4 linked regions of the Lepisosteus oculatus genome follow. The protein of the gene in region 2 purifies or fractionates together with the protein of the main gene of each other region. This does not show direct contact. Links are inferred from orthologs where the notes say so. Each region holds a gene or a part of one and is shown on either strand. Other genes may lie near its edges.

Evidence for each region.
Region 1: the proteins of bach1b (region 2) and mafgb purify together in Homo sapiens (affinity purification with mass spectrometry; 5 studies listed by BioGRID and IntAct, counting the BioPlex papers as one, with this or other methods). This does not show direct contact. The link is inferred for Lepisosteus oculatus from reciprocal best matches to the Homo sapiens genes BACH1 and MAFG.
Region 3: the proteins of bach1b (region 2) and mafk purify together in Homo sapiens (affinity purification with mass spectrometry; 6 studies listed by BioGRID and IntAct, counting the BioPlex papers as one, with this or other methods). This does not show direct contact. The link is inferred for Lepisosteus oculatus from reciprocal best matches to the Homo sapiens genes BACH1 and MAFK.
Region 4: the proteins of bach1b (region 2) and fam83d purify together in Homo sapiens (co-immunoprecipitation; 3 studies listed by BioGRID and IntAct, counting the BioPlex papers as one, with this or other methods). This does not show direct contact. The link is inferred for Lepisosteus oculatus from reciprocal best matches to the Homo sapiens genes BACH1 and FAM83D.

What each region holds. Positions count from the first base shown.
Region 1 is NC_090704.1:40,951,738-40,958,727, forward strand, and holds the start of mafgb (v-maf avian musculoaponeurotic fibrosarcoma oncogene homolog Gb), read right to left. Parts: upstream 3,009-6,990; 5' UTR 2,471-3,008; coding exon 2,294-2,470; intron 1,881-2,293; exon of another isoform or gene 1,783-1,880; intron 1-1,782. UniProt on the Homo sapiens protein: Since they lack a putative transactivation domain, the small Mafs behave as transcriptional repressors when they dimerize among themselves.
Region 2 is NC_090700.1:19,450,443-19,458,374, reverse strand, and holds the start of bach1b (transcription regulator protein BACH1b), read right to left. Parts: upstream 3,010-7,932; 5' UTR 2,882-3,009; intron 100-2,881; 5' UTR 88-99; coding exon 1-87. UniProt on the Homo sapiens protein: Transcriptional regulator that acts as a repressor or activator, depending on the context. Binds to NF-E2 DNA binding sites. Plays important roles in coordinating transcription activation and repression by MAFK.
Region 3 is NC_090714.1:1,285,890-1,293,441, reverse strand, and holds the start of mafk (transcription factor MafK), read right to left. Parts: upstream 3,019-7,552; 5' UTR 2,861-3,018; coding exon 2,842-2,860; intron 1-2,841. UniProt on the Homo sapiens protein: Since they lack a putative transactivation domain, the small Mafs behave as transcriptional repressors when they dimerize among themselves.
Region 4 is NC_090711.1:6,762,334-6,770,018, forward strand, and holds the start of fam83d (protein FAM83D), read right to left. Parts: upstream 3,007-7,685; 5' UTR 2,773-3,006; coding exon 2,212-2,772; intron 1-2,211. Other genes in the region: rab5if (GEL complex subunit OPTI), read right to left, coding at 5,217-5,258, 6,219-6,348, 6,651-6,754, 7,576-7,683.

The sequences.
Region 1 (6,990 bases), on a different chromosome or scaffold from region 2:
GCACACATAAGGAATGACTATTTTTGGAGTGATTGTTCCCTGGTGTTCCAAGACAGACCTAGAGACAGCTTGTAAACACACTGATTTGAAGTAGAACAAGGCCAAAAACAGTAATTACAGACCACCAGTATTGACTTTAATAGACAGCACTACACTCCCACAGAGGTCTGGTATAATCCTCTAGTATGAGGGTGTCTGGAGCTTCTGACTGCATCTAGATAAGATTGTGAGACGCTCGATGTCATAAATATCAGCCTATGCCTCCACTAAACACAGACTTTTAGCCACTTGGCAATCCAGACTCCCCAGATTTTTACATCTCAAACTTTCTGTGCGGAAAGACAAAAAGGTGTTCATTTACTCCGCCGTCCCGTATTGGGGGGGAAAAAAGCGAAGAATGACCAGATCACAGCAAATTCAGCATTGCATCCAGTGACAGTAAAGGCACATTTCATCCTTCAGCCATACTTCAAAATATTTGTCTGGGAAATCGATTGTGATTCGCCCACTTCTGACTGTTATCACCTGCTGAAAATAACTAGCAAAGCCTTTCTCATATAAAGCACAACATCCATTTCGCAACAGCTTTACAGATCAAAACCGTTAAAAACAGTTTGAGTGCCACCTTTAAAGAGAAAGGCGTTATCCTAAACTGTGAACTTTAGTCAAACATCTAGTGTTTCTGACAAGGCTTTCTGACATTGACAGTCATAACGGGACAGGTAAAAATGCCTCCCACTGGATATGCTCAGCTATTCAACAATTCTCCCAGGTGTTGGGGTAAGGCATAGAAACCACAATCCAGCACAATAATCGAGGAACACTTCGGCCATGATGGAAATCAGTCAAAATTCATCCGATTCTCTGACCTGAGTCACAAGCTGGCCATCTAAAAAAAAAGGAGACGTACCACACCGATCTACTAACAGCAAGCGTAACCTGTTTCACTTCTCATTAAGGTTCACCGCTGAGTGACTTCAAAATAAGAAGCAGGAAATATTCTCATACGGAGAAAAGGAAAGTGTGTGTGTGTGTTTTACATAACACCACACAGATACATGCATTGCCCTTTTGTGATTTACAGCACAACCCCACAACAGTTCGACCTGAAGTGGGGAAAAAAATCCAAATACCACCAAGAAGTTTATTGTTCATTTCGTGGTCGTGACGGCCCTGCGGGTTTCGGGATTAACATGGCCCCTTTCGGACCCGTCTGCTGGCCCTGTGGCATCGTCGCACATCTCCCTAAACCGGCAGCAAATAAAAATCACCGATCCTTATCGCCGAGCCCAGACCTCTGTCCGCAGGTCCATGTCAGCAGTGCCTGTCCAGTGCCGCCTGCTCAGCCTCAAAATTCAACGTTGTGATGAATCAGCACATACGGTACTTTCTGAGCCGATTTCGAAATCGAAAACAAGCCTTTAGTATTTTTATAGTTTTAAAAAATAATAATAATAATAAGATAACGGTCACACGGTGTGAGAAGACGACTTGAAACACGGGCTCCGACCTACACCGTTCTCTCAAATTCTCATCCACGGTGTAAGATTACAACAATTTCTTTGTTAGTGAAACGTTTGTTCTTGATCACCCCGATACAATGAAGCGATACACCTTTTACTGTAGCGAAGACATTTTTTTCCCCCCCTTAACTGAAGGAGCGCTTTCTGCTCGCAAGAATCACATTTTTCGAGACGGGCAGAACGAGTTGGCGCTGCGAGCCGACTCGTCTCGGCGGCCAGCGGCACCAGGCGACGCTACGGCAGCCGATGCTGAGCTCACCTTACCTTCCCAGAAAGCCGGCCAGCCTGACCTCTCTCTCCGCCTTACCACAGCGCCGTCGCCCCGGCTTTCGCCCGTTTTTCAGCACGGCCCCCGTTCTGATGAAACAGCAGGTTTGTCCAGCTCAGATGCATTACACATTTCTCGGCAACACGCTCCACGCCGCTGTCTGCCAGTGTGACTGACAGGGGCTCGGCGCCAGCTCTCGCCCAGCGAGGTCCCAGACCAAGGGGACTCCCCGGTAAAACCGAGATTTTACAACCACCTTATCCTTTTGTTAAAAACCCTGTGCCTGCACGGTTCTGACCGCACTCGCCGTGCATGCCTAATGACCCAATCGTGATGAATCAGCATGTCTGGCCCTTTAATGCACTCTCTCTCACACACACACACATCGACATGCACACACCACAGATCTACAGGCAAAGCAAAGGCGTGCACACTCAGCAAAATAACACATCTCTTTCAAATGTGCCGTCCGCGATCGAAGTAAACCCGCCATCGGACTCACCAAACTCAAGGGAGACCCTCTTCCCCACCGCCGGAGGTCTGATATCGGAGTATTTGGAAGTGAGGCGCCTCTATTTCTGGGTAATTTGTAAAATTTACTCCCTCGCCTTCTCCTTGTTGATCCCTTTCTCTTGTGCCGGAGCCAGACGTCATATGATGTTTGGTCACGTGGTTTCATTCATGAAGGATCTACGCAACTGGCAAAAAGGCTTAAAGGGACCGAGGCCACATATTTTCCAAAAAGCACATTCTTCCACACCTCCCGAAACTCGCTCTTTAAAGGGACAGCCGGCTCCCCAAACCCGTATCCCCCCTCCAAAAAAACAAAAACAAAAACAAAACAACGGACTAACTAGCAGCTGTGGCTTTCGAGACAAGCTGGTGTGTTTTGGCGAATTTGGAATCACCCTGCGCCGCTTTTTTTTTTACATATAGTAAGACAGGTCGAAAAAGCAAATATATATGTATAGGTGGGGTAGCCTCAAGAAAGTTTATCTTTTAAAAGTTACATTGTTCCCAGATTATAACTGACCGTTATCCTGATGTGCGTTACAAGACACTGCGCAGTACGTGCGATGTGGTGACTTTCCGGAGTAAAGCATTCCTCAGAGCAGTACGCAAGGGAAAGTCTGAAGAGAAATGCGCAGCAAATGGCAAAACAAAATATTTAACATTCCGCCAGTTTTAGCGGGGTACTAAACGCCGCTGGTGGGGGGGGGCTCTTCTCTCGCAAGTGTAACAGTGGGAAACGCAACAGAAGTGTGTCCAGCGAGCCAGTGGTTGGCCGGGGGCAGATGTGAACGCGGCTCTGCCGAACAGGGGGGCTCGAAACGGGACAGCCCACCTGCAAAGCATTTTCGAAGAGGACTGTCGGAACCTGAGCTCCTTTTTCGGCTCTGTGGTTTGATGGGATCTGCGCACCATAAGCAGAAACATTACAGCACTTCCCAGGAATGTCTTAAAGAGGCAAGCGCAGAACAATAGGCTGCCGTTCCGAGGCGCCGGGATCTCGGATCCCTGTTCGGGAATGCCGGCGCATGTTCTCGTCAGTCTATCAAAACAAATTGCCCTTTTTATCTTTCAATGGAGGCCGTGCATGTCCTACCCTTCCCACCTTTTTTTGTGTGTGTGTGATTTCTGGACCACTGTCAAGCGCAACAATTTGTTTTCTTAAAAAAAACATTTCACAATCATGTCTGTTATCACATGTGGTTTTCATTTTGCGGAGCTGCGCATACACTGGCAAATCACTTGCACAATGTACACGTAGGCAGGGCAGTTTAATGTTAAAGTCTGCGTGACCTCTCTGCTTTTAATAGGTTCGAGACACGTAAATCCGGGCAATCTAGAAAATTTATCGTAGGATATAATATCTGTCTTTAAAAAAGTGAACTACGACACACATTTCTCTTTGGGTCCACACACAAAGCGAAAGCAGATGACTTGTATAATATCCTCATTCTTCTCTTAACTAGTTTTGTTGGAGGGGGAGGGCGGCAGGAGTGGATGTAGGCTTCAATGCAATGACTTAAATTTAGGGATCATTTGGGGGACCGTTCGCCTTTACAATACAAAGCTGCAATTACATTTTATTCTCCCCAGACGCCGGGTTCAGTGAAACTCAATCTTCTTCCTCGCAACCACCGGTCCTACAAGCGCCTGACCCAATTCATTCAATCTGTACAAACTGCGACCATCACCCCCTACAAAGCACAGCCTCGTTGAGAACGAGAAAGCGCGTCTGAATCGATGCAGGCCTGTCGCTCAGTTCTGATTGTTAAAATCCGGCGTGTACTCCACAATACACTATGTGTCCAAACCTCACTGGAGTCAAGAACAGTAGTATTTTTTGCTGCCTTAACCAACTTTATCTTTTAAAACTAAGGGCGAGAGAAAATGGGGGAAATATTCACCCTCTTCACGTTTTCAATCTAAATGGCTAATGTGTTCCTTGTTCCTTTAATTTAAAGACATTTACACACTTCACCTGAAAAACTGCTTATTTACATGCTTGTATGCCTTATATTGATATTTCAAGAACTTGCTGACGGTGTGCATGCAAATGTTCTCTGTAGAATGACAAAAAGCAGATTAATGTTTAACATATGTTGAAACAGATTAATGTTAACACATTCAGTGTTTAATATGTCTTTAATAACGGTAACACCAGCCTCGTGTTAGAAATGTCAATTGTTTGGGGGTTTTTTTTTCGTGGAATGCTTTCCTGCAAAGGAGGCCCATTCTGCAGTTTTTTTTCTTAAAAACAGCTCAGACAATTTGAGTTTATATCGGAGTGACGGACTTCACCTACTGATCGTGTTAAGCTCCAAGATTCCTGGGTTCGTTCATTTAAGTCTTTAAGTTTACTTGGGTGCTTTACTGCAGCAGACTGAGTGCATTGCTCAAGGTTAACAAGAACAGTGTCTCTCCCCCCCCAGAACTGGAATCTACCACCAGTTGAAAACCTAGAGGCCCAACCACTACTCCAATCTGCCACAATCATATCACAAGAGCTGGCCAGTGTGCGATCCAAGCTGCTTGTCCAACGTGTTTAAAAACCGCTGCATGTCAATCCTGCGTTTTGATGAAATGGTGGCCCACTTACAGGAACAGTATACCCGAGTGCATTGACCACGACTGATTTTAATAGATCTGTATTGATCGCCCACTAATGTATTCCACGGCAGAGAGCATCAACCGGGAGCCCTCTGGAGTCCGCTCCGCCGTCCACGAAACCGTTACAGCACAGGAGACAGCAGGGGGAAGCGAAAGTGATGATTCACTGTCGCTGGAGGGAAATGGTTTTTACTGGTCGTAAAACCAAGCTAGACCTTCTTCCTCACACAGCCCAGCTGCATCTGCACGATAGTGGATCGAATGGGCTGCCTCTTCTCATTTATTATTTCTGCTAATTTAAATTTAGAGCTTCTGCAGCGTGGCCTTGCCGAAAGGTCAGGCGCTGTCTGCAGTGCGCTCCTGCCAGAACTCCAGCAAAAGTCTGATTAGACAAGTCCCCGGTCGGATTGGACACGATGTTGCCTTCTGCACTGACCAAAAATATTTCAACATTTTCATTGATAAATGTGAGGTTGCAAAAACCCAAATTCATTGCTAAATGTAATGTAATGGAGAACATGTTAACATGAGAGTTTCCGAGAAGTCTGTGCCAAAGCAAGAGCAAAATTGCTGTTAGTATCAAGTGTTGATTTGATCTCTAAGCTGGTTTTTTGAAACACATATTTCAACTGCGTAACTCACAGAGACATACCTAAAACAGTGTGTCAGTGAAGTATACAGAATCTCTGACTGTAAGCTTATTTTTTCTGTTCCTTGCACAAAGTAAAAGGTATGTTTTTTTCCACCAGATGTCAGACTTGGCCCATTTGAACATAATCAAGCCTGACAATGAACCTGGGGAGCTAAAATTGAAATTTCACGTTTCAAACACGAGTGACATTAGTGAAGATGTCTGGCGCTTGTGATTATTTCACATCATGTGTATTTTGAATGGTTTATATTTTAGATATCCAAACCATGTCAGAGCATTTCTACAACCTGTTGTGGCAATGAGTGAGATGTAAGCATACTGTACAATGTGCTCACATCTGGTTACATTTAGATACATGTAGGTCAGTTGCTCAGCTCACAATGGAATAAAGCATTGTCTTAACTTGCTGGAAGCAAAGACACAGCAACTGTATACTGTTAATGAGGAAAAAACTATTATGTATCTGTTCAAAATTCCAGGTCCCAAATACAACAAAGAGAGCATGCACTTTTAGCTATGTAAGATATCACAAAGTGGTAGATTCCTCCGATAATAGGTTCTAAAGCAACTGTGGAACACAGGCTGCACCAAATAAGCCACAAAACTAAGAAATAAGTGGATATTTAGATGTTTTTAAGGACAAAAACAAGAAACACTGAATAAACTCAGTAACTTCAGAATCACGCAACTACAGAAAAAAAAATTATGTTCTTTCTGCATTCGGATCATTTTTATTTCTCTTTTGTGGCATTTCAAAAAACCAACGTCCTTTATAAATAGTGTGAGGCAATATGTACTGGCACCCTCTAGTGGCTATCCTCCGTGGCAGTTCCTTTGAGAGATCATATCAAAGTTGCTGGCACTGCTCACACACGCCTCTTCTTCTTCTTCCTCCGAATCAAAGGAAGCTCACAAAAGCCTGGCAACATCGACAGGCATAATGAGAAGCAAATGAAAAGGTATTTCAGGCCGACTTATCTAGCTGGAGAGTGCTGCGAGGCAGTGGAGTATAACCTTTTGAATAAAAGAGGGATTACGCCAAGACTTCATTGCCTTGCTGTGACTGTAACAAAAATCCTCAAGCACAAACAAACGGAAAGCACTGAAGCCTACTTAAGAGTGTGACTTGTTAGGAAAGAAAATGAGCACAAATCCCAGAGCTTGTCAGCTTTTGATATTTACAGGGCACAGTGCCATTTTCAGGTAAAAACCTTTTCTTTTTACAGAAGTGTCTCATATCTCCCATTCTATTCCACTTCTCTTTATCTAGACATAAGTGATACTCAGAATTGTGAAGTGTGCTTGCTAGTGACGTGCAAGGGAGGCTTCACGTTTTATCTATGTGTGTGAACACATTTTTATTGACAAACAGGGAGATGAGAGGATACTATGTACAGCTGTGCACCCCCAAATAAATTGAAAAGAATTAT
Region 2 (7,932 bases):
CTGCTCGTTAAGGCACAGAAGGACGTGCGAGCTGTGTATCGAGGACTGGTAACTGAAGGTCGACGTCCTTATGCTCTCGAAAGTCATTGTGCGGTACAACTGCAAGAAAATGCAAAACATTGTCGCAGTCAAACTTCAAAATTCTGTCTGAGTTGCACAATGTTGTAGTGAAAGGTTTTTTTGAAGTGCGGCTATCAAACGTTGGAGATTTCTACATGGGTGCACTACGCATTCAATTGGATTTGCTCTTTGTGGGTGCTAAAATGCAACAAGTATCTCAAAAGAAAATGCCAGGTCTTTCAAGGCTGTCCCCTGCACCCGGTTCATGGGTGTAGTGGAGGTATGGAGCTCATTTCAACTGCCAGCACCAAGCCTCTGGAGGTGTGTCTGTGACCCTAGGGTTCAATCACCTCCCTTACTCAAGGAATAATGCGGAAGCTGTCACTGCCCACTTCAGAAAAAATATAACTAATCTGAAAATGGATCAGGTGTTGTACCTTCCAAAAAAAGACCACAACTACAAGCAGTCACTGCAGTCAGTTTGGATGATTTAGTTCAGAGTTAAAGGATTTATGCCAGCTAGTGTGTTACACTGCTTGCTTTCAGAGGACTTGCCACTACTATAAAAAACTATTCAGCTTTGCCCAATTACAGCGTCACCTCCATGTACACAATACAACACAAAACCATAAAATACTTCCAGAGCCACACATCAGAGTGTAAATGTAAAATTCTACAGATCCAACTGCCTTCCCTTAATCTACACCAGACTTTGAGAAGCCAGTCTGTCTAGCTGTTCCTGAGGCAGACAGATCCTGTATCAGTCTGAGATGCAGTCATGACAGGCAGACCTCAAGACTTGCAACTAGAAAGGTTTTGTATTTCATCTCTGATACACATCTTTCTGTGGCTCAGTTTTGGTAGATTTGATTGTATTATACAGTGTGAAAGAAAACATCTGCACGTCTGTATTCCATCTTATCAAGGAGGTCAGTGTTGTTCTATGCGTGAAAGCAAATGTGTGAATTATGGGCATAGTGTTTTGGACTAGTGCCTCACGGCGCTGGGGCCCTGGATTCAGTTCCGGACCAGGGGTGCTATCTGAACAGTTTGTATGTTGTGTGGGTTTCCTCTGGATGATCTGGTTTCCTCCCATAGTCCGAAAAGATACTGGCAGGTTAACTGGCTTATGGGAATGAGTATACATGTCCTGTAATGGACTGGAGTCCCGGCTAGGGTGTGCATACTCCTTGTCAGGATAGGCTCCGTCTCCCCCTTGAACCTGAATTTGATGAAGTGGTAAAAAAAATGGGTGGATGTGTGAATTTTGATATTTCAAAAATAGATGAGAAAAAAAATATTTACAACTTTAAAACAACGTAAGACCTAGTATAAATCATTTAAAATAATATGCATATCTACTACTAAGCCAATGCGATTTAAAACCTAAAATAAGATCAACGCTTCATTAAATGAAGCAGGTTGCAGCTTGGCGCAACTACAGCTGAGCGATGTCAAGTCATGCAGTGTGGTTAAGCAACAGCGTGCTGACTCACTCGCTTCTGCTGATAAAGGATGAACAAGCATTTTCCTGCTTCTCCGTTCATTAGTTCCCGCAAACAACTTCGTTACCTAACCGAGGCAGCATTCGTTGATATATTATTACGAGACAATAGTAGTCTAGTCGCTGTAACTGCTAAGTGTATGATGAAGGTATCTGAAAAGGGTGATGTATTTTTCTTTTTTTGAGCATGTAAACAAATGTCGGAGACTGGTTTCCACTGTTAAAATATGCATCATGTCATCTGGTGAACGGTGCAGGTACTAAAATAATAATCTACACAGTGTCTAGAAAGGCTAGCCCTTCAGCCCCAAGCTTCGCGTTTTCGTATTTCATGGTAGCCTTTTTCTTGCAGCTCATGTATATTTCCTTGGATATTATTTTTTTAAGCGGTTTGAAAAAGAGGAAGAGAAACCTGCTCTGTTTGCTTTTATACAACCCGTATTTTATCTATGGTTTGCGTAACGTCTTTCCAGATATGTAATGCCACATCATATTCTCCAACTGAACTCGTGCGGAAGAAGATACTCTAAATCGTGACTTGTAAGAGAGAAACAAAGTATTTTTCCCCGCATCCCAACGCGAATCCCGGATTTGTTTAAACTGCTTGGCACACGACACCCTTCACCGTATATTTTCGGGTTTCTGTAATCCAGAAACGTTAGCTGAGGCGAATAGTTTAAGATGCCACGGTTAGCCATGCTGTATCAGTGTGTACACTCTGATCCCCCTCTCGATGATGAAACCCTGTTACACAAGAAAAGTGGGACGTGAAATAAACAGGAAGATAGTTATCCTGAGATGGCAGACTTTACTAACCACAGACCAAACAGACCACTACGATCGTCCACGTTTTTGTTTTGTTTAAATGATTTCTCGTAGATGTCCAGTTAGCACGAAACACACAGGTCATTTTGTAACGAATAGTAATGGCACCAGCTAAATATCACATGTGTTCCTACCGTAATAAGTCTCTACTACTATCATCCTCTTTGCCCGAGTAAGGAATTTCTTAACAACCATAAACTACCACTGCAGGAAAAGACACAAATTTAGCTTGTCACTCACGACAAAATCCAAATTAGCCTTACCAAATACACATCTTGGCGTGCACAGCTACAGATTTCACCGTGACATTTGCTGGGCCTACCGAAACTTTAAAGGCTGGGATTCTCCCAAATGCCCCCTCCCAGCCCGACAACTGCAAAGTTCCTCCGTACCACCACAACACATCGCAAGACACTCCGTGGCACCGAGCGCTTCGATCCCTGTTTACATTAACCCTGACATGCGAGAGAATGCCAAAAGAGTCTTACTAACCTGTCACATCTCCTCAGCAAGAATCGATTCGGACTTTTACCAAGGAGCCCCGTGCTGTGGCAGTAAACATCCTCCTACTACCTAGCCCCATTAGAACCCTGCCTGACTGCAAGCCCTTCGCTCGGGCTGCGATCATGTGACTTTAACCCAGGGCGTCCTCGTCCCGCCCTCTAACGTGCAGCTCTTTCCTGCTATTGGCCGAAATGGCTGCCAGCTTCGTGTATTTTTATAAACCCTCACTTCCGGTTTCAGGCACTGATAAGCTTCAACTGGGTGGCTTTGTGGGTTTACTTTCAGAGTCCTTTTTTTTTCTTTACATTTTCAGAGAAGGCTGGCACGATCAGTTTCCTATCAAGGGACGGTCGCAGAGCGACAGAAATCAAAAGTGCTTTGCACTGAGTGAGAACACGAAAAAATTAAAGTAATGCATGATAATAAAAATACTACCTAAACATGGACTCGGGGGTTTAAACACATCGTATTCAAAGCACCTTAGGAACAACCTCCGTACAGGTATTTCGGGTATTAAACGTGTGTCAGTAATTATAAACGTTTTTAAAAACGCTATAAACTAAAACCTTTCTGAGACTTGCAAGTTTTATAAAATTCAAAATCTTCTATTTCTAAATGTTCCTGGTCAAAACCATGTAGAAAGGTACTAGACTACAACCACACTGTTAAAACTTTTAGTTCTTTTTTGTCTTAAATGTTTATTCTTGATTATCACGTGTCCTCTAGTTTTGCTTCATTGTTGGTTCTTAGGAAGGCCATTGGGTTGATTAGGGCAGCAACCTCCGCTTAGAAATGTGAGAAACAATTTTAGAGTCAGAAGAATGAAGGGAAGGACGACGTTAGAAATGAATGAAAAGAGACGAATAATCCAGCATTTAAAAAATGTCTTGGAGGTAGGAGCAACTAAGAACAAGAGTTTTGTACTGAATGGGTGCAGATATAAGGAGCCAATTAATAGTCTGATTTGAAGATCCAGTTGTACATTAGGTGAGATTAAAAGTAACTTGACTGTGACAAATAAGTGTTATTAAGAATCTCTGGCTTCCAATAATTTGGCACATTCTAACTGAATTTGAAAGTTATAAATGGAGGCGGACGTTGACAGATGTGATATAATGTGGGTTTGAAAGAAAAAAAATGCTAATTTCACTCTACATTGACCTTAAAGTGTTCATTTGAATGTAACTTTGTCTTTTTGCTTTATGTGCATTAAATTTGTGTTTTGTGTTGAATTGTACCTACTCATTCTTCCAATAGTGTTTTATGCTCTAACATTTTGTGAACTATGACAGATTTTACTTATTTTTGATTATCTATCAGAAAAGTGACTTACAGTTGTTCACAATAAAATAAAAAATGAGATTTTTTTGTATACAAGGAGCGATTGTTTGAAAGGACCTGCTCAACCAGCTATCTATGAGATATATCGAGGTGTGTCCACGCAGAAATGTAAGTTATTTTTCTGTGAACATTTTGCTAGACATTTCAAGATAATTCTTATTATCTTGAACTTTAGGCAATACTGCTTTTGAGGTACTACAGATGTTAAAAGCAGCAGCATCTAGTGTTTTATCTGTTTTCTTGGTTCGCTTGGTTTTAAGATAGACTCTAAGAACTAATTTTGTCGCAGAAAACCATGCTTTGTGATTATGAGACTAAAGACAAGAGTGGTTATTAAGTTGATTGCCTTAGAAAAGCAAAACTGTAGAAGACATTCCTAGGAGATTCCTTTACAGTTTTGCTGCTTACACATTTGACTTCTGTTTTGAAAAAGCTGTAGTTCTGGGAGATGTGTATTTTTTTATTTGCTGGGACTGTTAATGTCCTAGGCTCTTGTCTTTAAACTAATGTGTTAAAAAGATCTTACAGAGATCTTGTGGTGTTGTCATGCATTCATTTTGTAACCATTTTATCCAGCACAGGGTTGTGGGGAAGTCAGAGCCTATTCCAGCAAGCAGTGGACACAAGGATACACCCTGGATGGGTTGCCTGGCTGTCAAAGAACACACACAGACACAAACATAGTCATACTCACATCATGGCCTATTTTCCCAAAAGGAAATTAGCCTACTAGTATGTCTTTGGACTGTAGGAGGAAACTGGAACTTGACGAAAACAGAAGAAAACACTGAGAGAAAATTCAAACTACACAGACAGCACCCCAGAAATTGAGCCCAAGTCCCCAGTGTTGTGAGGCAGCAATGCACAGTGCGCCACTGTGAGGTTCCCAGTATTTCATGTCCTGGTCAAATTTAATTTCATAGTTTGCGCAGGCAACAACATTAATTTCTGTATCTTTTTATACTTTTTTATTAACATTGGAAGCAGGATAGAGCAGTAGTTAGGGTTCTGGACTTTTAACTGGAGGTATGTGGGTACAAACTTCAGATGAGACGCTGCAGTAGTAACATTGAGCAAGGTACCTCCCCCATATTTGCTCTAAGAAAATATACAGTTATATAAATGGATACAAATGTAAGTTGTTTTGGATAAAATCATTAGCCAAGTTAAGCCTAAGTTAATAAATAGTAAAATAGCATTCCTCTTGCAGGATACATCTTGTGCTTTTATATTTGCGATGTGTGATTGTAATTTTTGATTGAACCTATATCCATATTTATCAAGCAGATGTTCTCCTTAAGGGGCAGTGCCCAAACTGAAGGTCACCGCCAATGCTGTCATCCATGCAGCTTCCTGGAGAAACCACGATCAGCTGATGGTTGTTTCGGAGTTATTGGCTGAATTGTGAAATAAATTTTCCCGGATTGTGTAAAAGTAAGTCGATGTTTTGGGCAAAAGTGTTACATTTTGTACAGTACATTACACATAACACAGTCACAGGGGTAAGGACAGAAACAGATCAACTGTTCATTTGTCTCTCAAATATCAGGAAGAATTATTAGTACAGAGGAAACAAAGCAAGTATGTTTCCTTTTCTGTGATTTTAAAAAAAGAATTCTTCAGTTCAATACACTAAGCTCCTCATTTCATAGTGTAACAATCATTGAAAGTATGAAATTGACAGCATTGTACTCTTCTGCTTGTATAAAGGATAATTAAAAAAACAACAACACAAGATTAAAAACAAGGCATTTGAACTTAAATAATCTCTAAATTAAAATTAATGTAAAAGTATATAGTGATATCAGGAATCCCTATTGAGTAATCATATGGTCCTTTGAGACCAGTAAGAAAAGGTTGAACAGGAGGTCTCATGGAACTTGAACTATCTGCAGTCCAACTACACCCCATTCATATAATAGGTTGGCTCTCAGCTGGTCTTAGTAATAGTGTGTGGTGTGTACACTCCATCCAGTAGCTTAGATAGTGAATGAATGGAGGCTTGTGTACAACTGAGTATATAAATATGTCATAACATTAAAACTGAGCAACGCTGAATAGTGTAAACATCACTAAAATAAACAGAAATGTTCATTTTAAGATGTTTGTGCAGAGCACCACAATTTATTTGTCTTAAAATGTCAGATGTTATCAACAACATAATTCCTTGAGGATACAGTAAGTGCACCTCAGCAAACTGATACCAAGACAGCCCTAAAGAGAAAGCTCTGCCAGGAGTCATAGGAATCAGTCAGTTGACCGTACATTTGGAATTAACATTGTAATGACTGTCAGAGAATAGGAACCCTGTCCTCAAGGACCTGAGTCTTGAAGATTGTACTTTTAGATAACGTTTAGCAAATGAAACCCAACGAAGCATCAGTTCACTGGTGATCTTACAAGTAGGTTGACTGTCTGATCCTATCCAAATAGTGAGCTCACTTAAATCAATTAAGTCATTACATTGAGATTTTAAAATGAATACCAGACCCTGCCATTTTCTACCAGCTGTTGTGGATATTTTATGATTTTATTTAGGTTAAACCCGACTGGCACATTTGTTATTGCTGCCTCGCAGGCTTGCGGCGCTGGGACCCTGGGTTCAATTCTAGACCTTGGGTACTATCTGGGTGGAGTATGCATGTTCTCCCCATGTTTGTGTAGGTTTCCTCCCAGTGATCTGGTTTCCTCCCAAAGTCCAAAAACATACTGGATTTTGATTTTTAAGAACTTTTATTTCCTTTCACAAATAGATACAGAATAACACAAAGAAGAAACTTGACAATATTAAATAGCTAAAACAGTATATATGCACACGTTCAGAGAAGATTACAAAGCCAAAAGAAAAGTATATTTGCTCAGGTAAATTAGATCGTATATCATACATCATCTTCTGAAGAACATTTGCTGGTGTTTTTTTAATGAGAAATTACATTTTTCCTTGCATGCTTCTTCTTTTCATTATTACAGAGTTTTGAGATGCAATCCTACTTCCTCTATTTTACACAGATTTTCTGTTTCCTCCTTCCTCTCAGAAGTAATAGTTATCTTTAATAATGGATAGCGCCAGACTACCCACTCCTTTGATTGGAACTTCGATGCCTTTTGACACCCCCATATTCCTCACTTCCCAGGGGGTGTCTTTTTCACTGTTTACTATAGCCCAAAACCTGTCAAAGATGTTGGGGGGTAGTTTGACAGGAGAGATGCCAAGCATGATGAAAGCAGAGGTAAGGAAAAGCTAGGCAAAAAGGCCTATAAACTGGGCCCAGAAAGCCTTAGCAACATAGAAAACCACAAGAGAGTGGTCAAAGTCTCTTCCTCACAACAGGCCATTCCAACACAGTGAGGGCTGGGAGCTGGTGGTACAAGAAGGTTTGTGCGCTCCAGTCTAAGTTTTTGTGAATGTCACACTAAAATGCAGTGGATGTGTGTTTCCACACTTTTCTTGTTTGGGCTTCTGTTAAAATGTCCACAGTGCTCAATCTATATTTATGAGGCATGTCCAGATCCTCCAGTTGTTGGAAGCTGACCTCTCTGAGGGGAATGTGACCAATTGAATAAGATCTAAAAAAGTTTCTTAACATCCCATAAAGTACTGGCATGTGTCAGAGAACAGGACATCCAGCTTGGGTCTGAACACCTCCCTACTTACCTAAAGCAAAATAAGTCCAGATACCCAGATCAGGTGCTGTCGT
Region 3 (7,552 bases), on a different chromosome or scaffold from region 2:
GCTGAGATGTGAATCATGCTGTTTACTGGTAAGAGCAAAAGGCAGGGGCATGAAATCACACCCATGCAGCTGACATTTCCTGAAAAATCCAGTTTTGTTACCGGACGGAAGTAAAAGTCCAGGAATCTGCGAGACTGGTCCACTGGAACTCCAAGACGGAGAGAGGTAGAAAAAAAAAAGTCTCACTGCAGGTCTGTTTTCCAAGTGAACATGCAGGAATTTAAAGGAATGCGATGTACCCATGAGGAAAACATTCCAGATTTTACAATGAGACAAACATGGAATGCACTGTTGAGAAAGTGCACACGGGCCACCTAGCTCTCCATAGAAATACCACTTGCTCTTTTATTCTTAACCACATGTTGCCCAATCGCAATGACAAATCCTGCTTTACACTCTGACCACAAGTGGTAAAGCAACTGGTCTCAAATCCAGTAAATCAATGGCTCAGGAGGGAAATTCACAATGCAAATATAGATGTCTACACACGCCACTGTGAGCAATTACGAGATAATATAGAATACTGGGTAGGGCATGTTGCAACGTGACACTGTCAACAAAACCAAACGTTATTTTTACATGCAAAACACAAGGACAGATCGTAAATAAAAAAAGTAAGCACAAATTGTGAATACATTTAATGATAGTTTGTGTTATGTATTTCAACAGGGTGGTTATTTTTTTATTTAAGAACAAATTTAGGATTTTTCTCAGATAGTTATTTCTCAATAGATTCACGGGCAGATGGTTACAGAAAAGTTGTTAATCCTACACAATACTAGACTACACACCACAGCAGCATTCCCGTGGAATTCCAATAAAATATCTATGTACCAGTACACAATTAGACAAATTTAGTTTTAAAAATGTGAATGCTGAGAAGTAATTACATTGGCTTTCTTGAGCTACAATACGACATCACAGAACTGTAAAACCTGAAGTTATAAATGGACTGGATGAACACAATAACAGCTACACCAGTAGGAAGTTATCATGAAAATTACAGCTATTCTGTCTTCAATATTTTGTGCTTTTTGTTTCCATCTAGCGCTTAACAACTGTCCTTTCCGAATCACTATGAGTTTTTCAATCCCCGTCAAACCACAAGACTGCTACATATGCTTATTACGAGTTTCTCTGTTAACCAAAGCTGTGCTTTCACCTCACACTGGAGTTTCATTATGACCTGTATAAAAGTGTAATCTCTTCTTAATTCACACTTTTGTCTTGGGACCTGCATACGTATATATACTTCCTGAAGCTGATCTCTAAAAAGTCTGTTTGGCCCTGAATTTTCTATTTAAGGGGCATTAAAATACTGTGTTTAATGGAGCTTGAAATGGAAAAAACTGTGGTTTAATGTCAGTTTCTTGTGAGAAACATTAAGGAAATATACAGTAAACACAACAGACCCACAGGCAGATAGTTATAGAAAAGGTTCATCTTGTTCTTTCTACACAATATTAGACTACTACACAACATAACAGTATTCCTGTGGAATTCCGAAGTGGTTAGAAGTCAATGCATTTTCAGCAGGAGGGTATCCCAGCCGATATACCTCAGGTGATGACTTCAACACCCACGTTAGGGGAGTTGTCAAACGGCTTCGCTGTATGAAAAAAAAACCTGGCCAAGGGCCAGATTTGAAATAAAATTCAAAACGGTTACCCTAGGAAAAGAGTTTAGATAATACCCACGCGGCTCCTTCGATAGGAGCTTTATTGCTTGCAGTTTTGAAACGGACTGAGTTCCAAGCTGTAATTTGAAATCATACTAGCCTGCCCGGTCTTGGGAAGCACAATCCACACCATTGTCTCTGAGAGACACCAATGGAACACTCTGTGTCCTGACTGGTGCTCATGTAAGTGGCCAGAGAAATGGAGATCAGAGAAGAAGTGGTGTAAAACTTTCTGCTGATGCTTTCAAGTAGCAGTTTGCTTGAAGGTAGCTCTCTAGACAAATGCTCTGGCATACTTGCAAATCATGCACAACTGTAACTTAAAACAATGTGCTTTAGCAAAATAGATGGAGCTTGCATAAATGTATTTAAAAGTTGTTTTTTTCTTTGGGAAACTGTGGTCACGTGCCAAATGTTTGCTGTACAACTACTAAGGACTGCAAAGGCCATTTAACAAGATGACTTCAAGCCAGAGATATTGTACGCAACCTTAACTTGAAAATACTCCTCAGTCATTTTTCCATCGCAAAAACACTCCGTCATAAAATGATTTGAGCATCTAAACAAAATTAACTTTGCCAAAAGATGTTTTGATTTGTGCCCGCTGAATTTCAACATTGATGCTGAAAATCCAAGGCTTTGTTTCTTCCAGCACTCTCTTTTAAAACCACTTCCATCTTCCCACTCCGAGAGATACAAGACTGGCAGAAAGATACTCCTCCTGCCTGGATTCCAGTTCATATAGAATTCCATCCAATTAAACAAGGGGTTAATAATCAGAGCGCCCTCTGCGTTTAAGAACAGATGTGTCTGTATTCCAAATGGTATTTTAAAGATATCTGACTGGTCATTTATAATGTATCCAAGAAACAGAGACTGATGCTACCGAGCCACATTTCAGTCCTGGCCACAGCCAACATTAATTCTATATGTACTTTTTTTTTTACAGCTTACAACATAGCCATAATTGAGTCTCTAATGGATCCAGAGACATGATGTTACACATGAACCTCCCCTGGGTGGAGACTGCTCTTCGGCAGTTCTCAGATTAAGAGATTATACAATCAATTATTTAAGTATATTTTTAAATAACACTAGCCCTTTTCTTGATGAATGATGGCATGGATCATTAGTACACAATTAAATGAGCAGAGGGTCCCAACCTGACTCCTTTTGATCCATCTTGAATAGGAGGAGGACCTGGCCACCTTCAGGCCATCTTTGTCAGGCTTGTAGATGTTGCTTCTTTGCCTGGAAATGAACAGTCTGTTCCATTTTCCTCCTCCATAATCACTCAAGATTTCGTCATACTACCCTCACAGACAGCAGTTCCCCTAAATCGATCATTAACAAGGCTCAGAGCCATATCTCATTTTCTAACCCTACCCTTTACTGCACAGTATGCAAGTGCCAGGCAGAGGAATCAAGACGGGTTATCACAGGAGCTCATCGATGACCGCCCCACAAACAAACCAGACTGGACTACGTTACGTAGAGGTATTCCGATCTCTCTCACCAAACAAGTTGAATTCACCAACTGCTGTCTGTGTCCGATTCTTATTTATTCCCTATTTGTAGGATCAGAAGGACTGCAAAATCCCAGGACCGCTCACCTAAACACAGCCTTGTCAGCAGAAAGGGCCAATTCACATTCTTGTAGGCAGGATAAGGTCAAATTAAAATTAATTCCAAAATGCACCAGAAACTGGCACATCTTCTTTCAAAGGTGTGCGCACAGTTCCGATGGCTCCCAAGCTCCCGCTAACGTTAATCTGATCTTGACTATCCTGCTGAGCCTTCCTTGCTCGTTAGATCTTTCTGCCGACGGCACCAAAGAGCTCAACCTCGGCACCTATCCTTAATTACTAACAGGTTAAGGGTATGAGGTGATGTATTTTTAGAGAACGTGGCGTCTTTACTTTTTTTTAAGGAATAACCAAAGTCAGATCTGTTATCTGCCAAAGTGGAAGTGATTCACAATAACCAGTTATGACTCACCTTTCCTAAACAGCAGGGTGTAACCCCTCGCACTGGTATAGAGAAGCTCAGTACTGGACTGCATAGCAAGAACAGCCTATTCTTGGGCGCACATGCGTGGGATTCCCCATTAGCAAGCAGAACGGCCACGGGCATGGTCGTCTTCGAAATACTCATGTGAAAGACTGATTTTTAAATGTCTTTACTTCCAGGGCAGGTGAAGATATTTTAATGGTTTTATTATTTGCGCTTTCAGCTTCAGAGGAAGCTTTGATTATCCAGTAAACCCCCCTCAAACTGCAATACTCCCGAAGCTACAGACCCTTCTCACACTGAACACTGCTCCAGGTACTGTGGTCTGCGGTAACTCTGGGTGTTATTCGCCTTGTCCCCGCTATCGGCAAAGTAGGATCGGCATTTAAGTATTAAATCTCTAAAGAAAATGGGGGGAAATTACAGAGTAGCTTCGTTTTACGATATAACCATAAACAAAATAGTTGCAAGGTGACGTTGGAAATTTTACAAAGAATTTAAAGCTCTGTTATTTCATATACACGACGCCCATCTCAAGGTTATCAAATCTTCGCGTGGCTGGAGTCGCTCCAATATGTGGCTGATCCGACAGGTTCCTTTGCTGAACGCTGTCTCCCCCAGGAATGGCACGATCTGGGCTTGAACCTGAAGTTGTCGGGCTTTCAAATTCAGACACCGCACACGCTCAGTCTGCGTCGTCCCATCATCTCTGTAGGGGGGTGGGGGACGTCTTTAAAAATGACCAGCAACAGGTCTGAAATCATTTTCATTCGTTAATAAAAAAAAAAAGCTCATATTCGGATTCGTATAAAAACGCGTTTACTCATCTGTCGCCAAGGTGAAACTACTTCGATTCTACACTGTGAAGCTTAATGTGTCTGACAGCTCCGTCCGTGAAGCATCCAAGTGCGTCGGAATGATCTGTGATCGGGGCGTTTCAAAGTTACAGCACATGCATCATCGTTATCATCTTCATCGGTGACCGGGCTGAGAAGGGAGGCTAGCTGTCAGGAAAATGACTGGGAGATCGGAACAAATTATGAACTGAACGGCAAAAGATTAATCACTGAGCTGCGTTTCTTTTTCTGGGACCGTAGGCTCATGCGTAACAGAACAAGCCAGAAAACGCGCAGCGAGCTCCGGGCGCGGATCCTCTCCAGTAGAGCCCCCGTCCACTCGCTCTTGTCCCACACTTAGTTCACGGGGGAGAAAATCCTGCACTCGAACCCACGCACCCCCCCCCAGCCGAATCCGTAACCGGACCCACGGCGCGCGCCGCCCTGCCCTTTGTGCCAGCAGCCGCTCCGCACGGGCGCACGTGCTCTTCTCTCGCGACCGCACGGGCATCGGTCTCGCAACACCTTCACAGCCCACTAGTATCTCCGACCGTGTGGGCTATATTATAATCTGGTGTTCCAGTAGACTGCAAACCCCCATGCGTATTATTAGCTATTATTTAAAAATACTTTTGGAGCTAAATACAGTCAGTAGGCTATTTATAAAGTATAGAATATCAGATTGTTTCAAACAGCAGATATACTCACTTGCAACATTTAGCTTTAGGAATTAATACTGAACTCGCCTTGTTGCTAACACGTGTTCAAACTCACTGGTGAGTCACCACTAGAGTATGAAATGTTATCCCAATCTTTAAGAAATACACACACATTTCGTTACTTCACCCAGCGTTTGCTACCGAAAGGATGCTTAATTGGGAAGATTCGGTCCCGTTTTGCCGAAGACGCACCAGGACCCCTCATCGGCTCTCCGCCGGAGCGCAAGTCCGTCACCATGTAAACAGAAGCGACTTAAAGAGGAATTTCAAAACATGTCGCCCCCCCCCCTCCCGTCCCCTCACCTTGTGAGCGCGGACCGTGTGTGTCGGGATCGCGCAGGGACGCCTCGCGGTGTCCGCGGACGAGCTGGGGTTGGTTCCACCGGGACAGACCTGCCAGCGCTCGGCCCGAGCCGTCTCAGAACTCCCGATCGGCTACAAAACAACAACAATGTATCAACATTCCACTCGCTGCTTCCGCAAGCGCTTACGTCACCGATTCCTCGTGACCGCCCCCTCCATTCATGAAAATAACTTTGCACTGACGTCATCCAGGCGGGAAACTAGTGGAAGCCAGAAATAGCCCGGAGCGCTAAAGATGCAGTTACAGAATTACTTCAGAGTATTTGCTGTTATGCAAAATGTAGAGCCCCTGTTATTTGCTGATTTTCTTTCTGTAGCGCACCAGTGAGCCAAGAAAATATGGTGCGGTTTAATTCCACGTGTTGTTTTGGAGACGTTTGAAATGGATCAGCAACTGTTAACCATTTATAAACGATGTTATATTTGATTTTCGTGCTTGAACAGATTGACCGTTTAAACTCATCACATCCATTTAAGATATGAAATGGGGGAAAACAAGCGAAGCCGTTTTAGGAAGTGACTTAATTGAACTGGATTGCTGTGTCAGTGACTCACGGTGATCCAGTAAATTGTGCTGAAGAGGACTGGCTTGCTCAAAAGGGCAAAGACGAGAGAAATGAATCCTGAAATAATGGAACAAGGTAAAAATAGATATGCCACCAAATGAAGCTTGTTTTGTGAGCTTATTTTGCCAATACTGTGCCCTGCTTTTCTTTAACATTTCCTTTCCCTCAGGTCCCTGATATCTCCCCATTTCATCAGTGTTTGTCAAGTTAGAAGTGGCCAGTGCAGACCACTGATTGGGCCAGACTTGTGTCCTGTTTTGCCCTTAGTTCTGTGTTTTAACGGAGTCTAGTCTTAGAGTCTGTATAGTCGCCAGGACCTTGTCTGTAGAGCACCAGTCACCAGCAGGTGAGGAACACAGCAGTGACAGAAGAAACATGCCTCGCATTTAGGGAACTTCAAGAAATTAATTTACTTTGTTTACAATTTAGGTATTCTAAATAACATTCTTGGCGCTGTAAATTATAGGGTGCTGGAGTTACTCCATGGGAATGAACACCCACATGTCAAAGGCAGCGTGTCTCAATAATTAATATATCTATCATTATATATCTTACAAATAAAAAAAAAGCCAGAAATAGACAGGAGCACTGAAGATGCAGTTTCAGAATATTTGCCCTTATGCAAAATGTCGAACCCCTTGATCCATAAAGGACATTTTATCATGTCGAATTGAATAATAAAGTGAATTAATTTGATCAACTATTAGCAGCAAACAAACCAGAACAGGCAGATGTGAGAAGGTCATAGGTCAGAAGGTTCTAAGAAGCCTTAAAGAAGAATAGTGGAGAGGAGACTGAAGTCTGTTGGAAGTTGCTAGAATTTGTCAATTTCTAGTTTTGCAACTTTGCGGATGTTTACTTATTCTACAAAAAAGTCTCCATCATTCCGCAACCGTTCTGCTGCCCTCAATGTCTTTCATTGTCCGGACCCACAGCAGCCCGGGGCATGGGGTGGCAGGAGTGTGAGCCTGTGGCTGGCATAGCTTTGATGCAATCTGCTATAGCTCCGTACTCCATATGTTGTTGGATAAAACACTCATTTCGTAAGTCTACGATTACCAACAAACAGTACATTGCCCCTAAACCTCAAGCCCCAGATCTTTGTGACTGTCAAAAGAGGGTGGGTAAAAGGTCAATGCCCAAACTCTATTTTGCAGTTAATGGGCTTTTAACAGCTTTCAACCCTTCTTATATCTGTTTATGTAAAACAAGTTTACATCCACTTTAAAGGGAAGAATATTGGGATGTCACAATCGCGAAACCTCTGTTCACCAGCTGACAGGCAGTTGTGCTTTTTACAAACACTGTCTAACAAACCTGAAGAGGGTTTCTGATAACCTCCACCGACTGTAGCCCTTATAAACCCTGCGGGGTGTCTAG
Region 4 (7,685 bases), on a different chromosome or scaffold from region 2:
ATCAATATAGCCTCCATGCCTCAACTTGCTTACAGAGCTGGAGTACAATTTAGTCAAATATAAAATACCAAATACCAATACTTAAAATATTTTACACAAACCTGAAACTTCCCTCTGTCTTCTTTTATATTCTGAAAATGTTTAGATGTGAATCTCGGCACAGACAAATCACATTGAAAGGCAGACTTCCATCTAGTCTTCTAGTTGTGACATTTTTAATTTACTAGTAAAGCACCTGCAAGTAGTGTCCTGTCCATAGTATGTGTAGACTAAACATATTTGCAAGTGGGAAAAAAAAAATCGCTATCATTTCTGGGGAGTGTTCAGCATGTTGGAACATTTTACTCTTAGCAAATAACTTCTACAGGAATTTCCAGTCTACTAGTGTTAATATTTTATACCCTTCTGGAAATTTGTTCACTTACTGTACATTCCAGAGAAAAGAGGGAAAAGAATGCATAATCGACAATAGACAGCAAAAGACAACTCCTACAAATTCCAAATGTGAAAGTGCTGCAATTTCTGACTTGTCCTAAAATAATAGTGAAATACAAATCATCCATGTATGAACGACGGCCTTGACTATAACTGCCTAAGACACTGTGGGCTTTTCATGTTACAGTGCCCTGGGCTGGTAATTGACAATCCAGGTGTCCAGAGTGATGGGAACACATTCTGTCTGATAAGCAATTGTGATTCATATGGCAGTGAACATGAGGCATGGCACAAATATGTTCAAACATGTCTATACTCCCTTCCTGTCATTTTTTTAGTCCCACTTTTTATAAACCCTTGCATTTACATCTTAAAACGTTATACAAAGAGTGTGAGCAATGAAAGTCCTTTAAATATGTCACTCACCTACCGCATGGTTGTTTTGTGCACACAACTTAATAGCACTGAAACTTTTTAGGAATATTTTTTCCACAAATTTTAACAACGAGAATCGAATAGAATGAATAAAAGGTGGGAAAAAATAGGAATGCTGGTGTATCAGTACAAATAAAGCTTCTCAAGAGTTTGTTGCTGGCAATTTACCAATACTTCAGCACAGAAGTGTAGAAACTGGGGTTTTTTTTCAAGCTGGCTCCCAAATAGCTATATCATCTAAGCAGAACACGTGTGGTTTTTACCTATGGAGACATCTGAAAGATCATGTATTGACTGGTATATAGGATTGTTAAAATCGTATAATCATGTTCCATGGTTATAAGAATGGTAAAAAGCACACTGTCTAGGTTTCTGGACAACAACTCCACTGGTAATACCATATTCCTTAAAAATACAATCAAAAGCAAAAAAGGTCAAATCAAAATAATCAGAACGTGTTGACAATCATTGTTGTGCCTGATTCCGCGGGATTATTCTACAGGGAACGCTGGGTGTCATCAGTACAAATTTCAATGTCCCGCTGTCTGTTCTTAAAATCAATGACTTTAAATGCGCTTTATTGACCCATGCTGTTAAGGCCTCTTCTCCCATCACCATAATCGAGATGCTTGTAACCCGGCACTAATTGAAGTACAGGCCAACTCTTAAGCACATCACCTGCGTGATTTATGAAAAATATATCGCGACGATAATGTAGTATTATCACTTCAAACAACGCACAGATAAAATTGCTGCGGCTCATCAAGTGAGAAAGGATTTAAATTTTCCACTGCTCATGCGTCTTAACGAGATTTGTTCCTCCAGTGACTACAGGTATTCTGTGAGCTGTAACAGAATATTTAACGTACATTTCTAGGTGAGTGCTAGGGTGTGGGTTATCCTCCTTGACCTCCGCTGTTATATCGATCCGGATAGTATACAGCAAGGTCAAAAATGACATTTTACAATGCAATATTTGTAAATTGTAAGCGAAGTTCAAAACCGGTTACAGTATTATTTGTGGGGGTGTCGCGTATCTGTATACTTTAGACTGCACGTCTGTTGTGCATGAGGTCACATTCGTGCGAAACTTTTAATTCACATTTACTGTTGCGCCTTGCCCTGGCCCATAAACTCAAAATAGCATTTTCGACCGACCACAACCGGCCGCGATCACAGAAGACGCCGTCTTGACTTCTCACTCCTTTAAAATCTTCCACGCTCCTTTGGTAAACGTTTTACTGCAGATAGAAACCGGAACTAACGCTGACAGTGTCATAGCGACCACGACTGAGATTAGTAACAGTACCACTTAAGCCAATGTGGGTGTTAAATTGTTACCTCTTTTGCGCTTCTTATCATTCGCCTAGCAGCCTCCTTGCAACTATAGATGCATTCACCATAGCTGGGCTGAAAGTGAGCTACAGCCCGAGTGACTCCTCGGAATGAGCCGGCGGTGAAGGCCGGCCAGCCTATTTCCAAGAGCGGCGGCTCTACGTCCGAGACCTCGGGAAAGTAGGTGACAGAGGAGCAGTCCATCGAGCTGCTCACGGACTGCTCCATGCCCGCATCCTCTCCGCTCAGAGAGACGTTTTTAGGGTGCACAGCCGAGTCCATAATCAGTCTGATTTCATCGCTGGAAAGGAAATTGGGTATCTTCTCTTTCTTTAAAAATTCCACATAGGACTCTTTGCCCCCAGAGATCAGCTCTTCCAAAGCCAGTCTGTGCGCTTCGCTGTACAATTCCTGGGGACTCAGGTTATTCCTGCACCGGGTCGGGCCCGGGATGGGAAAATCGTCGAGGCACTGAGACAATGCCATGCTAACTCTGAACCCTACGCTCAGCACAGTATCGCGCGTTACCAGTTTTCTGAGATCATGACTTTTTTTTTTATCTGGCATTTTAAACTCGAACAAACCCAGCCCACGGCAGCCGGCATTGGCTGAGCGAAAGCCGCAAAACCGGTTCCACCAACTTTACACAGGCACATAAGACTGCCTCCCGCCGGGAATGGGTGATGATCATTGGCTCACGGTTTGAATTTGTAGGCAAACAACATCGGCCGAAGAATACTGCAAAGGAGTATCATTGCCGGTTACCTGTCGAGACAAGGCGACCTTCTGTTTAATGTTTAATTTTTAACATTAAATAGAGCCTGAGGCAGCGCTGCCTACAAACTATTCTATCTGTAAATCTCCTTCCTTGTTCCGGTATCTTGTGTTTCTCGCTGCATAATTTGTTACCATTTAAATGATTTGTGTTTTTAAATTTGTGTATAAATAGCAGTATATTTTTATTTGGGTATAGCTAGTGAAATGACGTTCACCAAGTCACTTACAAAACATCCTAAGAAAACCTATATAAAAGTACTATCAGAATGGAGTTTTCCTGATATACAAAAAGCTGCTAAACAGCTTTTTATCCAGCAGAGAAATTGCTTTGAGCAAAGTATGCTGTCGAATTAGGTTTGTGTATGAACAGATATGAACAATTATTACCTAAATTAATAATAGTATTTCAGAAAATGCGTTGTACTATTAAGCAGCGTTTTGTCAACAGAAGAACTGTTTAATTTAAGGAAAATTGAAGATTCCCTCAAGCAGTTCGGCTGCGGCAGTCACTGATGCGTCTAAAAAAACGGGTTTGGTTTGCATAATTAAATGTTTCAGTTTCTTAAAAATCAAATGCTTCTTCAATACAGTTGTCGGTATGCATGCAGATCCAAATTTTTCATTTATAAAGACAAACCTTAACCCACTAAAAATATCTCTTGAAAATAAATTCTAAATGAGTGAAGTTTCAAGAGGCACTGAAGGACAAAACAAAACATGTCAGAATTTAGACACTTGGAAAAGAGGTCAATTTACTCATCGATGATTAGAAGCATGAATAAAACCTGCTGGATGGTGGCTCTGCAGGATCGTGCATGACTATCAGTGGTCTACGGCTTTAAAATGCATGGACTTGTTTACATCTCAGTCTCCAGGACCAGAAGCCCTCCACCAGCATAGAACAACACCAGCATTAACTGAGGACACGGACAAGCAAATTTCTTAACACGACAATGATTTCAGATGAACAGTAGGTACCATGTATAAAAGCTAAATACAGCTCTAAGAAAAATATTCATCAATGTTCATCAACTTTTCTGCATTTCCACACAAAGATAACATTGATATCATAAAACCAACGTGATGTCCACAAATATTTGGCAGCCGGACAAAATACTGCAATTATTTCTTACTTATGTGATATGAACAAGAGTAGTAGTGTCAGCTTAAACAAGAAATAAAGTTCGTTTTTTTTTCTGCCTCAGAAATGGGGAAATCCAAACCTAGGAAGCACATTTGCAATTAAAAAAAAAGCCTACTCCATTTTACAGGATCCTGACTTTTAATAACTCTACATTGATCTACAAATTCCAACATTTATTTTTCTAAAATTTATGGAATGACAACACTGGACAAGAGAACAAGTACCAACTGGAGAAACAGTGCACATATCCCCCAATGCCTGCAGGTGTCACTAATGCCAAGGGGACCTTGGCTGACTCAACCCCACTCAGTCCTTTCCATGTCCTGGCAATTGTGCTGATGGGGACATGATCCAAGCTTCAACTTGCAATGCTAGGGCCTCCGGGCTCAACCAGCAGTCTATAGGGGCACCTTTACTGACTAAGACTCTTGGAAGCCCCTTACATTTGTATCTGAGTGTTTGAAACAACAACACATGGTTTAACACAATTCCAAAGGGGATTATTTCAACCTTAAAAAAACATTTTACACCTGAATCTCCCCAACTAGAGTGATCCTGCCTCCAGTATATATTGTGTAATAAAGTGTCTGCTTCTATGCCCACATTAACCAAACGGTTTAGAATAGCATCAGAATACCTTTGGTCAAGTTCTGCAAATTAAACAACAAAATAACAATATACAAACAAATCAGTTTAATACATTTTCTTTTGTTAAGATGAAAATTGTACAGATATTTTACAGACTCGTTTAAATTAAAATCTATGGACATCCGATTTGATCAAGGAGCTACTTGAGGAAAGCATTATATAAAACAACTACAACTGTGTTTGATACAATGCTATTTGTTTATATAAAAAAATTAATCCATGGCTTTTTGGAAAATGTTCAGGATGTAAAGTGTTAGCTTAAAAAACCTGCTGCACAATCTCAGCCTGTGAAGGCCATTGTCAAATACTCATAATCCACTCCCTCCTGAATGATCATGTGTTATATTGGTAAAAAAACACCTTGGACTTCAAAGTTCTTATTACGTTTCACATGAACTAAGATGTTCCATCTTGTCTTTCCGCAAAAGAGATTCGTGTTTCTTCAATCATAGTGTATAGCTGTGTAGAATATGATCCAAACAACCTGCAATATGAATGGGAAAGAATTACCTAATCACCTTTTCACCATACATTTATGTATAAGTTCAGTACTTGTTTTGCTCGTTTAATTATGGAGAAAGCATATTCCTGCAGAATTAACCAGCCTGTATTCATGCAAACTGGAAGCATCTTACTGCAACACTGCGACTCAGCTATATACAGATCTAAGTAAATAATGTATTATTTGAACATTAAATGATTAAATAATAAAAAAAACAAATCAAATCAGTCTCATACCAGCACATGAAACAGCCACAATATATAATTTCAGTAGGATACCATTAAAAATAATTGCATGTCTGTAGCTATTCCTGACTCGATTATATCAATTTATATGCACAGTTTAACATAGTGGCTTAACATTCGTGACCCATTCAGTTACCCCTTCCATAATTTATTATTTTATACGCTCTGTCAAGCGACAGTGTTGCACGGTGTTAAGAATTTTGTAATATGATTCAAAACATCTGGACACGGATGATTCTGGACTTGTAATTTCCTTGACCAGTACTCCAGCTCAGCAGGGTTTGGGGTTGCACTTTCAGGTGCTGGTGCTGGTGTCCCATATCTGCTCCAGGCCCTTTTTAATTCAATGTAAGCTTAATTATTTTAAATTGGCCAGTTAGGTTTTACCTTGATATCGTTAATAATAACTATTAACACTTTTTTTAAAAGACTATCAGTTTAGTATATCCAGCTATGCAGATTTGTCATAAAAAACAAGACATTGATGGATATTACTGATGTGTTCTGTCACTCACATTACATAAACGTTTAATGAACTAAGCTATCCAGGTCCGGATAATTCAATCTGTAGGTCTGCATTAAGGAGAGGAGATATACACCAGTGCCTAATTGTGCATTTCAACAGAATAACCCTCTTGGAATTATAACATTTTTGCTCCTTCAATTTTGAAACACAGGATATCAGAGTTTTAAATACCAGGAAGAGTGCGAACGAGGTCATGAAGCCCTCTTTAGTTAGTTCCCATGTTCCTCCATACTCTTCTTCGTCAATCTGTTGAAAGCTGCTGAAGTAGATATAAAGGAGTCCAGCATTGATGATGCAGAATCTGAGAACACAACAATAAGCACAAATGTAACTGATATGGATGAATACACCTTTTATTTGCCCTTCCAAAAACAATGCCCTGAACATAAGCAGCCACTACATGTAAAGGAATTCCTTCGAAGCCACGTGTTTAACTTTACATTGTTGTTGTTGCTTGACTTTTTCAGGACTGGTTTGTAAAACAGTTTGCATTTTTAAAAGGGAGACAAATGCACTATATGCAGAGCTGATACAGGTAAGGAAAGAACAGAAAGGTGTGAATGAGAAACTAGGTACAGACCAGGTTGCAAAGTTGTGACTCACATTGCGATACCCAAAAATCCTTTTAGAGGTGCAATTCCCCAAATGACCCCTAAAATCACTGCAATGATCTGCCGAAACCAGTAAATCACATCTAAAAATTCATCCTGCAAAAAAGGAAGGGAAAAAAAGATTAATTTTCAGTAAAATAAGTGGTTTGCATGCTCTTCAACAGATAAAGGTATCGCACACATGAACACTTTGAACTCAAACACGTACACTACAGGGATGGTTAACCTAGGAAAGGGAACAAACTGTCATCCCAGGAAACAATCATCTTGGGATGATTCCAAAACAGGCCAAATGTGTTCTTAAGAAAATATGATTTTAGAACATGTTTCAATTTTGAAATAATAACGGGATAGTGCAAAGCCAAGTATAAATATATTCCTGCTTCTGAAAACAGATCACCTCACCACCAAGGAAAGGTACGACTTAGAGTAAAAATGAAAGAAACGTCATTAAATGAACCATGTAGCTTATTGTGCCAAATGATATCGTCCATCGTTAACGACAGATTGGGAACTGTTTCACATGATTGATTGTGTTGGTAACAAGGCGACCATATTAGGGCTCACGATATGGGAACACTGACTACTTTACTGGAGGTGTCACTATCCTACTCTGTAAAAAATGATGCCGTCTTACTTTCTGATAATACGCTTACGTATCTGCAAATATTTAAACAATTTTCTTCTAAATGCGTGTTTTACACGTTACAGAAATTACTACAGGAAAAAAAGAGCTATGGAAAACCACGGTCCTGCTCTTATTTGAAGATCAACTCCAGTCGGACGTGGGCACGACTGACACCAGTCAACCCTAACCCTTTCAGATCCTGAGCCACTGAAAACATTTGAAAACTAAAAGTTATCCGAAGCACCGCACCACAGAAACCTACGCACCACCGATCCCCAATAAACCAAACCTTTTCCTCCCACACGGCGTTGCTCTTGAAAGCTTTACTCCATGCAGACTGCTTTATCCCCCCATTGGCGAGATGAACTTCTTCTTTCCTTCTTGCACTGCTCGTCATTC